Linked DNA regions of Mus musculus: regions 1 and 3 are each reported to be linked to region 2. The links are microRNA targets in miRTarBase. Many come from high-throughput screens and were not tested one by one. Region 2 holds a microRNA gene; each other region holds the end of a gene's coding sequence.

The links. Region 2 holds the annotated microRNA mmu-miR-145a-5p (GUCCAGUUUUCCCAGGAAUCCCU, at 1,380-1,402, opposite strand). A microRNA usually pairs through its seed, bases 2 to 8, with sites in the 3' UTR of a target mRNA and lowers its output. Matches are read on the target gene's strand: a 7mer-m8 pairs with bases 2 to 8, a 7mer-A1 pairs with bases 2 to 7 and ends in A, and an 8mer does both.
Region 1: the mRNA of Nr4a2 is a reported target of mmu-miR-145a-5p. Seed matches in the 3' UTR shown: 8mer at 814-821.
Region 3: miRTarBase lists Slc7a14 as a target of mmu-miR-145a-5p. Seed matches in the 3' UTR shown: 7mer-A1 at 391-397.

Annotation. Positions count from the first base shown.
Region 1 is chr2:57,104,757-57,108,944 of GRCm38, reverse strand. It overlaps Nr4a2 (nuclear receptor subfamily 4, group A, member 2), which reads left to right. Exons shown (of 8, transcript NM_013613.2): 7 at 206-384; 8 at 533-1,719. The coding sequence ends at 789. Among named protein-coding and RNA genes, the nearest start is that of Nr4a2, 8.2 kb to the left of the region's middle.
Region 2 is chr18:61,646,487-61,650,674 of GRCm38, forward strand. It overlaps Mir145a (microRNA 145a), which reads right to left and starts at 1,408; the gene lies at 1,339-1,408. Bvht (braveheart long non-coding RNA) reads left to right here. Exons shown (of 3, transcript NR_045420.2): 3 at 718-999. Carmn (cardiac mesoderm enhancer-associated non-coding RNA) reads right to left here. Exons shown (of 5, transcript NR_045402.1): 4 at 3,421-3,664. Mir143 (microRNA 143) reads right to left here and starts at 2,772; the gene lies at 2,710-2,772.
Region 3 is chr3:31,205,581-31,209,738 of GRCm38, forward strand. Slc7a14 (solute carrier family 7 (cationic amino acid transporter, y+ system), member 14) reads right to left here. Exons shown (of 8, transcript NM_172861.3): 8 at 1-3,818. The coding sequence ends at 3,496. Among named protein-coding and RNA genes, the nearest start is that of Gm33834, 25 kb to the right of the region's middle.

The DNA of each region.
Region 1 (4,188 bases), not on the chromosome of region 2:
CCTTGGGTGACCGGAGTGGTGGTGGGATAGGGGAGTTCTTGATTGTTATGAAATTAAACCCTTTCAAGGTCCACTGGTCTACATTTTATTAACTCTTCAGTAATTAGGTGCCTCTTAAATCCCTCATTTATTGCTCTTCAAGTAATTAGTTGTTTAGCTTCTCTCTCTCTCTTTTTCTCCCCTCTCTCTTTGGTATTAATTGCAGGTCCAACCCAGTGGAGGGTAAACTCATCTTTTGCAATGGGGTGGTCTTGCACAGGTTGCAATGCGTGCGTGGCTTTGGGGAATGGATTGATTCCATTGTTGAATTCTCCTCCAACTTGCAGAATATGAACATCGACATTTCTGCCTTCTCCTGCATTGCTGCCCTGGCTATGGTCACAGGTCAGTACTGCTGGTGCAGGACACTTCCCCTTCCGAACTTCCTCTGGTGGGACCGGTCATGGCTTTCCCTAATCGCAGATTCTTTCTGATTCTGCCATCTGACTAACTCCCCTCTGCATTCTTTTGTTTCTGGTTGCATTTTCTGCAGAGAGACACGGGCTCAAGGAACCCAAGAGAGTGGAAGAGCTACAAAACAAAATTGTAAATTGTCTTAAAGACCATGTGACTTTCAATAATGGGGGTTTGAACCGACCCAACTACCTGTCTAAACTGTTGGGGAAGCTGCCAGAACTCCGCACCCTTTGCACACAGGGCCTCCAGCGCATTTTCTACCTGAAATTGGAAGACTTGGTACCACCACCAGCAATAATTGACAAACTTTTCCTGGACACCTTACCTTTCTAAGACCTTCTCCCAAGCACGTCAAAGAACTGGAAAGAAAAAAAAAATAACATCCAGAGGGGGCTGGTCACATGGGCAGAGAGCTGGTTGAAGTGTCCAGTTCACCTTATCTCCCTTCTGTAGACCCCTAGCCCTCACCCCTTAAGTAAACAAACAAACAAACAAACCACAAATAAAAACTGTCGCTATTTCCTAACCTGCAGGCAGAACCTGAAAGGGCATTTTGGCTCCGGGGCATCCTGGATTTAGAAAACGGACAGCACACAGTACAGTGGTATAAACTTTTTATTATCAGTTCAAAATCAGTTTGTTGTTCAGAAGAAAGATTGCTAATGTATGATGGGAAATGTTTGGCCATGCTTGCTTGTTGCAGTTAAGACAAATGTAACACACACACACACACACACACACACACACACACACACACACCTTAATGGGACCCTCCTATTTTGCCCTTTAACAAGACTTCAAAGTTTTCTGCTGTAAAGAAAGCTGTAATATATAGTAAAACTAAATGTTGCGTGGGTGGCATGAATTGAAGGCAGAGGCTTGTAAATTTATCCAATGCAGTTTGGCTTTTTAAATTATTTTGTGCCTATTTATGAATAAATATTACAAATTCTAAAAAGTAAGTGTGTTTGCAAAAAAAAAAAAAGAAAATAACTACATAAAAAGGGGACAAGCATGTGATTCTAGGTTGAAGATGTTATAGGCACTTGCTACTTCAGTAATGTCTATATTATATAAATAGTATTTCAGACACTATGTAGTCTGTTAGATTTTATAAAGATTGGTAGTTATCTGAGCTTAAACATTTTTCTCAATTGTATAATAGGTGGGCACAAGTATCAGTACATTGGAAAATCCTGACAAAAGGGACACATAGTGTTTGTAACACCGCCCAACATTCCTTGTTTGTAAGTGTTGTATGTACCGTTGATGTTGATAAAAGAAAGTTTATATCTTGATTATTTTGTTGTCTAAAGCTAAACAAAACTTGCATGCAGCAGCTTTTGACTGTTTCCAGAGTGCTTATAATATACATAACTCCCTGGAAATTACTGAGCACTTTGAATTTTTTTGTTTTTGTTTTTTATGTCTAAAATTGTCAGTCAATATATTATTTTATGTTTGAGTAAGAATTTTAATATTGCCATATTCTGTAGTATTTTCTTTGTATATTTCTAGTACGGCACATGAGATGAGTCACTGCCTTTTTTTCTATGGTGTACGACAGTTAGAGATGCTGATTTTTTTTTCCTGATAAATTCTTTCTTTAAGAAAGACAATTTTAATGTTTACAACAATAAACCACGTAAATGAACAGAACTCTGTCTTATTTCTGGGCCAGGAAAATGATTACTAAACAACAGGTACAAGAAAGAGGCGAAAGTGGAGACTGATTTGGGGAGGTCACTTACAGGACATCTGAATTTCAGACTGACAGCCTAGATCCATTGTGGCAAAGGGAAGGGTGTCACTAAACTAATTATCCAGAGAATTCATGCAGTGTTTTTTTTTTTTTTTTTTTTTTTTGTTTGTTTTTTTTTTTTACTTTGCCTGAATTTTCCAGTCTGCTGACCTACATTTATCAGAATCAACTTAGAATATCTTACTCTTGTAAGTTTTGAGTTAAGTGCAGCTTAGGAGACCAACAATCTGAACTTTTCCAAGTTGGGAATCTTGTGAAGTTGGGGGGGGGGGGAGGGGAACAGCATTCCGAAGTTTGTGCTTGGAGATTCAGAAAGGCAGATTTGAATTCTCTTTTACTTTATCTTTGCTCTTTTCAATTCCTGTGCATGCTTCTATGAGTGTGGGACCGAGCACTCCAGGCCTTCTGCTGGAGTTCTGAGTCAGCCTTCCCACTAGAGCTCTGGAGAGACATTTCTTTTTTCCCCTCCTCTGGTGGGGAGTGATGAGGTGTGCTTTGAACTTTTAGAAACTTTCCACCTTCTAATTATTTCAGATTAAAAAAAAGATCCTTGTCCAGTCTTGGATCTAGTTTAAGCAAATTTTAACATGAGGCTCTCGTATTCCATTCAGAATCAACTTTCCGTGGAGGAAGGGGCCCGAGTTCTCAGCTGATCTGGCTTTCAACCAGGTATCCTTGGGCAGATGGTAGTCCAGTTCTGCCTGGGGCTGAATTTAAGGAGAGATTTAAGATGGGTTGATCCTGCTTCATGACCCTGGCTAATTACAGATAGTTTGGGGGTCACCGAAATTTACAAACAAAGAAACAAACAAACAAAAAAGGTCTTCATTTAAAAAAATGGCTGTCAGAAGAGTATCCTGCCGCCAGTTTACCTGGTCTCACTCCTTACCCTGTCAAAACAATTGTTTTATGGTTGGCAAAAAGAGACAAGGAAAGTCCCCTGTGGTAGTTTAAAGCTATTTTTACTGAATGGGTTTCTCTCTGAGGGGTAAAGGGAATCGGTCATATAGGGTATCAAACAGGACATGTCCAATTTTCTAGTGTATGTGTGCATTTTTAAGATCAGACCAGCGACTGCATTTTATTTTCACATCTTATTTTGAGTCAAAACCACAAACTCTTAAGTAGACAGAATGAGCTCTTCTCCCAGGTGTCTGCGCCCGGAGACAATTACATTTTACTGCAGAATCCCTTAGAGTTGAGCCCAGAAATGAACCCCCAAGGCTGATTCTCCCCAAAGGACTCCGCAGGCATCATCTGAGGCCAATGACGGCGTCAGGGAAAAGTGAGTCTCTGGAGACTTTAAGAGATCCATGCTTTCCTTGTCTCCGTACTGCATCTACTGGGCTGGATTGTGATTCCTAGGTTGTCCCTGGTAAGGTTTCTACTTCAGAGTCACATTCTATCTCGGCGGCTCTTACCCACCAAACGTCTTCTCCGCCCCCCCCCCCCCCCCCCCGGTCTTCAAAGGTTCTCTCTGCTCACAACTTTCCAGTCTTAGTCTTTCTTTCTAGAAATATAGCCCAGGAAGAGACACAGACTCTTTCTATGTTGTCAAATCAAAGTGTATAGAATTTCTTCAGGAAGAGGTCTAACTTTATGATGAGGGATTCCTAGTCACCTCCGTTGCCTAATGACTCTTGCATGTCATTTTCGGAGTGTCATTTCAGCAGTAGACAATACGTGGTCATTGTTCCAATGTCATGACCATCTATACACCCACTTCTCAGATCTGAGAGATCTATTTTAAAGTCTTCGTTGTCCACTTCCACATTGAGAGGTTGCCTAGAACGGCCTGGCTTTTTGGAGAGATGGCCTTAATTTAAAGCAAGAATGGATGAGCAGTTCTATTGCCTGGTGTTCCGTGGCTTCCGCCTTTCTGCTATCTGGATTGAGGGTCATAGTCTTTCTGGGTTTCCTGCTCTCCCTCGCTTAGACTTTTGGCTTTCTGAAACTGGCCAGAGGGTGCT
Region 2 (4,188 bases):
GTGTGTGTGTGTGTGTGTGTGCACATGGCTAGTGTCTTCTGTCACTGTCTACCCTATGATGCTGAGACACTGTCTCTCGGTAAACCAGGAGTTCACCAACCCTGGCTGGGCTGCCTGGCTGGCTGCAGATCTCCAGGGGTCCTCTTGTCTTTCTCCCTACCAGCACTAGGATGCTAAAGGTGACCCCCCCCACGGCTGGCTTTCTACACAGGCACTGGACATCCGAACTCAGAGCTTTACAGATGAGCCCCCAGCACCTAAGTTCTAGTTTCCCTTTCACATTTATTTCTTTTTATTGTATGTGTGTGCACGTACGCATGTGGAGGTCAGAGGACACATTTCAGGAGTCACTTTTCTCTTCCCACCACGAGGGTTCTGGGAATTCTACTCAAGTCCTCAGATTGGTGGCCAGCATCTTTGCTGATAAGCGCCGTCTCATCCTTCCAACCCAAGTTCCATTTTATTGCTGGATTTCTATCCCTGCCTCTGCCTCCCGAAGCTGAGCTTAAAGGCATGTGGTTTATTTTTTTATTTTTAAAATTTGTTTGTTTGTTTTTAGCACAGTGAGCAAAGATTTACTAAGGAAAAAACAAGGAAGAACTCCCAAGAGTTGGGGGGCCGGGAGCTATAAGTAGTTCCTGCCTCTACTTTTTCTTTTGTCTCAGACATTCAATTCCACGCTTGAAATCAACCCTGGCTCTGCCTTTTGCTTTCTAGGCGACCTGGCTCTTGTTTGGGCCTAAGGAAAAGCCGACTGTAAGCCGGGAAGCATCTCTGGCAAGAACAAGGAAGGATTAAGCACGTCTGTGGTTGTGCGCAGGGATCACAAGGTGCTCCTGCAGTGGGAAGAGCCACCACTAGGGGCGCTCCAAGTCTTGTATTTTCTACCTTGAAAACTCGTTTCCCTGTGGCTGCCCTCCAAATCCAACGGAGATGAATGGCTTTTAGTTTACCTAGCTGATTTAATAAACTTTAAAAATAAATGTACGAATGACTTTCTTAATAGTGTGGATGTGGGTCTGTGGCCCCTCCTCACCACAAGGTCTACAGGGAAGGCATGTGGAGGGTCAGAGTGGAGGGGAGCCGTCTCATAGTCTGGTTTTCAACCACTGTGTCTTGAGACGAGTTTCTCAAGAGTGAGGCAGTTCTGAGCTTCCCACATCCAGCCTCCCTCCTGGGGATGTTAGGAAATATGGACAGGGCGGAAAGAAAAGCTATACAAAGGTCAGAAGAGAGCTCCCAAGACCGCTTACCTCCGACGAACCGCCTCCTCCTCCCTACTCCCCGGAAGGAAATGCCAGGGTGGGAGGGAGACAGATCCAGCTGCTAAGCCATGACCTCAAGAACAGTATTTCCAGGAATCCCCATCTTAGCATCCAAGGGATTCCTGGGAAAACTGGACCGTGAGGACAAGGTGGGAGAGAGAGAGATGCCTTCAGCACGTGCCACGCCCCTAGGGACCAGCAGTTCTCTCGGCATCCACCGTGGGGCGCTGTATACACCCTCCTTCCCGGGATGCAGCGTCCTGCTCTGGGAAGAGCAACTAGAGCTTTGAGTGGCTTGGAAAGTACCTTCCCTAAGGTCAGGAAGCATTTGGGACCAGTCCTCCCTGCCTCCCTCCCCCCGCCATGGTCCACGGGGACTCTGGCCAGTGATTATTAAAAGTCCGTTCCCAGGCTCTAGTGACCTTCTCGCTGCGGTCCTCCAGCAGGTCACTTGGCCTCTGATCCTCGTACGATTGTAAAGTGGCATCAAATAGGACCCACTGGATGGGTCAGGAGCCAGCATGAAGGCAGCGAAGCCATGGACGCTTAGAAATATGTATGAATGGTCAGGGGCTGGTGAGATGGCTCAGCGATTAAGGGCACTGGCTGCTCTTCCAGAGGTCCTGAGTTCAAGTCCCAGCAGCCACCTGGTGGCTCAGAATCATCTATAAAGGGGTCTGATGCCCTCTTCTGGCATGCAGGAGTGTGTGGTTCTGTCTCTGCTGTTACTACAGCTGAGAGTAACCAAGACCAGGGTGGGGTTTGTTCTCTTCTACTCTCCTCTAGGAAGTGGGTCGCCTTCCTCAGACCAGGCTTGGGAGGTTAGCAACAAATGGATATACCCCAGTGACTCTCCTCTGTTGCCCCTTGCCTCTCTGAAGCCTCTGGGACAAGGGCAGACATTTGTGAGATGCCAGCCTGGCTCAGGCAGTAGCACAGAGGCAGGGTAGAGCTCAAAAAGTGAAGACTGTGACCTCAGGCCTAATGTCTGGCATTTCGTGGTTGCAACGTGACAGTGTCGTATCGTTGGGTTGCCGGGATCCTGAGCCTCTACTGGGGCTAAGGATTGTTAAGGACTGTCTGATTTACAGAGACGAAGGGGTTTCAACGCAGAACCATATACAATGGCTATTCACTATGCAGTGTTGAGAAGGGTTCCGAGGGTGTGTTGGAACCTCCCCAGAATGGGTAGATGTAGCGTCTTTGTTAGCAGTGTCTTCTCTAGGCTGAGGAAGTAGAGGCAGGGTGTTGGTGCTGGCAGCCCCTGAATGGACCAGAGCTTACTGTTGTAGAGGGCACAAGAGTGATCGGCCCTGGTACAGCTTGAGCCCAGGAACATCGCCACAAGCTGCTGGAGCAGAATCTAGGGACAACCTATCTAGTCCGCTATCCCATGCCAACACTTACCACGTCCCGGTGACGGCTGCAGGACATCTTCTCCCTTCCTGAGCTACAGTGCTTCATCTCAGACTCCCAACTGACCAGAGATGCAGCACTGCACCTCAGGCTGGGAGACAGGCGCTCCGCACGCAGGCCGCGCGGCTTTCTTCTTGGGCAGGAGGAGTGTGAGCATGCGCAGTGGTCTGCCTCCTATCCGGGTCTTGGCTTACCCTGGAGCCCTCTGGGACTGAAATTTCCACTTTCTTGTCCTTTTGTCGTTTTAAGTTAGCTTTCTTGTGATAGACCCACCCATTTCAAGCATGCAGTTAATTTTTTTTTTTTCAGTGCTAAAGATGGAACCCAGGGCCTGCCTGCTCAACCTGTGGCTCCCCTGTTTGTGCCCCGCCCCCCATCCGTCTCTTTATGCACGCAGCACAAATGACTGCTAGTGAGAAACTGTCTCTTCTTTAGTTCTCAGGACATCTCCTTTATGGGCTCGCCCATCCTTTGCACTCCTGTTTCTCCCTAGCTCTTGGGGTATCCTTTTCAACTATGGCCACTTTCCTTCGTAAGGAAAGGGAGTCTGCTGGCTTCCCTCAACCCCCGGATCAAGGCCGCCGTTGAACACTGCTTGAGTGGCTTGCAACCTACCTCATCCTCTGTGGCCTTGGAGCGGTTTATCTCTGGGTCACCCCAGCTTTCCTCTCCAGTTCCCTGAGGCCAGGGTTCATATATTATGATTTGGGGTCCCTAGAACCTGCCGATGACTTTGCATGTGACTACAGACAAAAGATGACACGTGGTGACCATCTTCTGTGGCCACGGCTTGTGTGGGAACTTCGGGGTGAACAGAACACCCCTGACCCCCAAACCACCTACTCACCCTGCTCTTGCTAAGACACCCCCCTCCCCCAGGGTCCCCAGATAACCTTTGCTTCGTGGTGACTGCGGTGGCCTTGGTGATGGATGATACATACCTTCAGGGTTTTCTGAAGAGGGTAGGCAGCCTTTCCTCAGGGCTGGAGAGAACAGAAAAAAAAAGTGCGCCTCCATTTTTAGAAACCCCTTTGCTCCTAGGCCTCCCAATAGGAATCTAGCTCCCTGAAGTTAGGGGTGAGGTGCAGGGGCAGTGGGAAAAGCTTCTTTGATTTGTTGTTAAGGCCAGGAAACTTCTGCCTTCAGGCACTCCCCAGCCAATTACCATCTTCCCTCTGTCTGGACTCCTCAGACACTTTCCACAGCCCTTTTACCAGGAGATCTGAATACAGGACTCTCTTGAGTCAGAATGTCTTCTCCAGGACATTCCCCCACAGCTCCCATGGACCCTGGGAGAGGTGGCACTGAAGTTGACCAAGGGACATTTCAGTAAGTAGCTAGGAGTGGTGGACACAGCCTAGCTGGGTTGCTAGGAGCCTTCCCCAGGGTCAGCTGTGCCCAAAGCCCTTTTGCCTCCATTGCTTTTGCTTTCTGGGGAAGCAGAGGGAGTGGAGATCTTTGGGAGTCATTTGGTGACATACCATTTGGGTCGTCCCCTGCCTCTTTG
Region 3 (4,158 bases), not on the chromosome of region 2:
ATCACAAGATTATTTCTTTTTTTCTTCCAAGACAGAATTTCTCTGTGTATCCCTGTCTGTCTCGGAACTCCCTCTGTGGATCAGGCTAGCCTCAAACTCAGAGATCTGCCTGCCTCTGCCTTTGAGTGCTGGGGTTAAAGGTGTGTGCCACCACCACCTCGCTGTTATTTCTTGATAGCCACTACCCAGCAGGCGCATGTGGCTGTGCAACTTAGGCTTGACGCTTCTCTGTGGACTTTAGAGGTCTGTGCCCTTATGGGGGAAGGGCTTATTTTAATCATGTAGCAGTACTGGTTGTCATTACTGACAAGTCTATTATTTTCCAAGATGCCAGTAAGGCACATCCCTCCATGGCCTCTGCATCAGCTCCTGCTTCCTGACCTGCTTGAGTTCCAGTCCTGACTTCCTTGGTGATGAACAGCAATGTGGAAGTGTAAGCTGAATAAACCCTTTCCTCCCCAACTTGCTTCTTGGTCATGATGTTTGTGCAGGAATAGAAACCCTGACTAAGACACCCTTCATCGGAAAATGTAGCCAAGCCCTTGAAAGTTCTGCACCTGTGCACTATACACACTTCTGGCTTAGTGTTACCCTCTCTTCTGTTTCAGTTGTGCTCACCCCTTTTGTTTTGGAGCACATGCATTTTTTTTTTAAGATTTATTTACTTATTTATTATACGTAAGTACACTGTAGCTGTCTTCAGACACACCAGAAGAGGGCATCAGATCTCATTATGGGTGGTTGTGAGCCACCATGTGGTTGCTGGGATTTGAACTCCAGACCTTCGGAAGAGCAGTCGGGTGCTCTTACCCACTGAGCCATCTCACCAGCCCGAGCACATGCATTTTAATAGCTGCCTCCAATCTTTCTGAAATGATGCAGAGTATTGATAAATAAATAGAATTCAAAGATATTAAATTATCGGCTTCACACACACTGAAACCCACCAGAAGAGATTTCCTAAGATAAATATTTATAAAGGGACCCTTCTTTTAATGAAACCTCACAAATACAGTATTCAGATATGTTAGCTGATATTGTCATTTCTGTGGTTGATGGTATTTGAAAGTTGCCTTGTGAAACCTGGGACTCTTCCATAAGAGCTGAGAAACACAATGAACCTTGCTATGTACCTGAGAAAACTTTCCAAACAATGTTTAAAAAACCAAGATAGCTAAGAAGATGACCCCAACAATGTTAGAAAAATAAAGAGAGCAAAGACATCCAAAGCTACCAACGGAGACAAATGGCTTATGAAATGAGATCAATTCCTTGGCTCTGCACAGAATCAACACCAATAGCATTAACTAATATAACCCATGCTCACTCTCTTAGGCTACAGAAGATGCACACAGCTGCCACCAGACCATTGCTACTTTTATACCTAAACACCAGCAGTAAAAGGAAACTTTCTACTCACATGAAAATCTGTCACTTTGTATCCATATTTCTTCTAAACACACCTAAGGGAGAGAAGGTTACCCACGACTTCAGCTTAATAGATGCAATTTAACCAGGCAGATTTCTTGCTCCTAAACCAGTTTAAAACTTAGGTTTTAACATCATGAGATCAATTTGACAGTGAATTTTCCAGGGTGATTTGTCGCAGGCCAGACACTGGATCATGGTGGTTAAGTTTAAGAAAGAGGATACACAGTTTTGTCAGACTTTACATAAAAATGATACCATGAATATACTGGGTTCTATGTAATTAATATGAAGTGATCTAAAAACTGTAATTATTTGATTGCAATGGCATAGACTAGCTAGGGGCATGGTATGCAATTTATTATGCATTGTCTTAAAAAATAATTTCAACTGATATTTTTCTGGTATGCCTCTTGCATTGGTCATGGGGCTCCAAAACTGCACCTCCCTGTACTGTAAGCTCCAAGGGAGGAAGTTACAGGTCTCCTCATGCCTGCCACTTAGCCACTGGTGTATTTCAGCGAGTTAGCGCAACAGGAAGCGCACCTTTTCTCTGTAACTCTAGTGCATGCCAAGAAGACATCAGCTTCAGACTTTAAGAAAGGAGAATGTTTGTTGATTCTCAGGAGAATTTTTGGCAGATGATAAAGAGGGGGTTTGGTCTTTGCCCTACTTCCAGAAAATTCTCACAAAAATCTTAGTGTGAGGAAAATTGTCTTCATACACAAGTACACCCGCTGTTGAAGCCATGGGATCCATGGCTGCTGGGGGGATATAACTCACAGGCTTTTCCTGTCACAGATTCATCTGTCCTGTTTTGGGAAAATTCTTTTAAGCATTCCTCCGGTGGCCTACACTTAAATGTCACCAGGTAGCATTTCTCTGGGGCTCTGTGAAAGTACTTTGGGAAGGAACAGGAAAAAATACTCTAAAAGCGAGCTCTTCCGAAGCATGAGGTCCGTGTGGGAGTGTGATCTCTCTGAGCTCATTGACCTAAGTCCCTGGCCTTCTGCACCACCGTTTTCAACAGCAGCAGCCAGCCAAGTGGTTGCCTAGCTTGAAAAATTAAAAAAAAAAAAACCCTCTGCAGAGTTTATAATTTTAGAAATATGAAGTAAGATTTGTAATGTGATCTCAGTGGCAGAGTTACTTCTCCTCGAAAAGACTTTTTATCAGATTGTAAAACAAATAGCCTACTTATTCCAGGCATATCAGAGGCATGGCGTCACAGCCCACCTCTGCCCTTTCACCATCGTGGCAGGAGCTCAAGGTCTGGTATAAGGGAATGCATGACAGACAGTTCATGTCTGCCAATGCTTTTCTGACCTCTGTAAGAGATTGCTATCTAAGCTTTTACCTTTTTTTTTTTCCTCAAGCTCTGATGGTGGGTCTAACTATACTACTGTGTCTGCATGGGTGCTTTGTGGGGGATGCGTTCTCCGAGTCCTTTCTGGATCCTAAAATTATAGTCTGGAAACTGTAAGAACTTTGGTGAGTGAGGAACCGTGGGTCTGCTCCACGGTTAGTGGGAAGTTTAGTGAGAAGGTGAGGTGAGATGTAAGGACACAGTGTTGCTGACAGAGAAAGTCCTGAAACAGCCTGACCTACTGACCTGGGGGAGGAGCTCACAGCGCTGCTCTGGATGGGCTGACAGCTGCCTCACACTGCACTGCCGCCACCTTTGTGGCTCCTTCCCCCGGGGCTGTGTTCTCAGGTGGGATGGAGGAAGCTTCCTCCATCTCTGTAAGAAGCACAAAGATCCATCCTGCAAAGCAAACATTTGCTGCCATCGGCTGGGCATCTCACTAACAGAATTTCATGTAGTCTTTTGAGTTTGATTTTTGTTTGTTTGTTTGTTTAACAAGAGGGCTAGTTAAGGGCCCTGGGTAAAACCCTTCAACAGAATTCCCCTGAAGAGCAAAAGTAGCAAATGACAGGTTATGCCTGGGGATGGACCTTGGGGAAAGGCTGGGTTTGTGAAATGAGAGTTGGAAGAAGTTTCCACCTTCTAGCACATAGGCTGATGTACTAAGAAACCACCCTCTCTAGGCTCCTGCGCGGTTAGTCTTACTCCGGAGAGCAATCTAACTCGTCATTTGCAATCAGGGCCTCCGAGTTCTGTTTGTGTTTGCTTTTGCTTTTCGCTTTGCTACTCGTCCGGCTGTTTGCCTTCGCATCTGACATCTGTTGGTAATAGAAGCCTTTGTCCTCGGCGGGCCCACCCCAGTCCTCCTGGCTCTCGCCCTCGGTGGCGTAGGAGAACCCCTCCTCCACAGAAAAGGGATCATCCACATCGTAGCGCTGGTACGTGCTCTGATGCAGGGCTTGCTCTCGGGCGCTGATTTCCAAGGTGCTGTTCCAGATGCCATACCCAAAATAAATGAGCATACCTGTTGGGAGGGGGAAAGCACAATGAATAAGCAGCTATCTTGGGGCCCGGGGGCCACTGGGGAGATCACACCTGACTAGGGCTGGGGTGATGTACATTCTTAGATCTAGCACATTTTGGAAAGACTTGAATAATGCCCTTTCCAGCCCCAGAGAACACATAAAAAGCCCCTTCTGGTGGTCCTAGCTAAAATAAATGCCCTAGAGAGGTAGGATCAGGCAGATCCCTGGGGCCCATTGGCCAGCCACACCTGCTAAGCTGGTGAGTCTCAAATCTAAGGTGCTCAACTCCTGAGGAAAGGCACCTGAGGTTGGCCTCTGGCTGCCACATACACAGGGTAC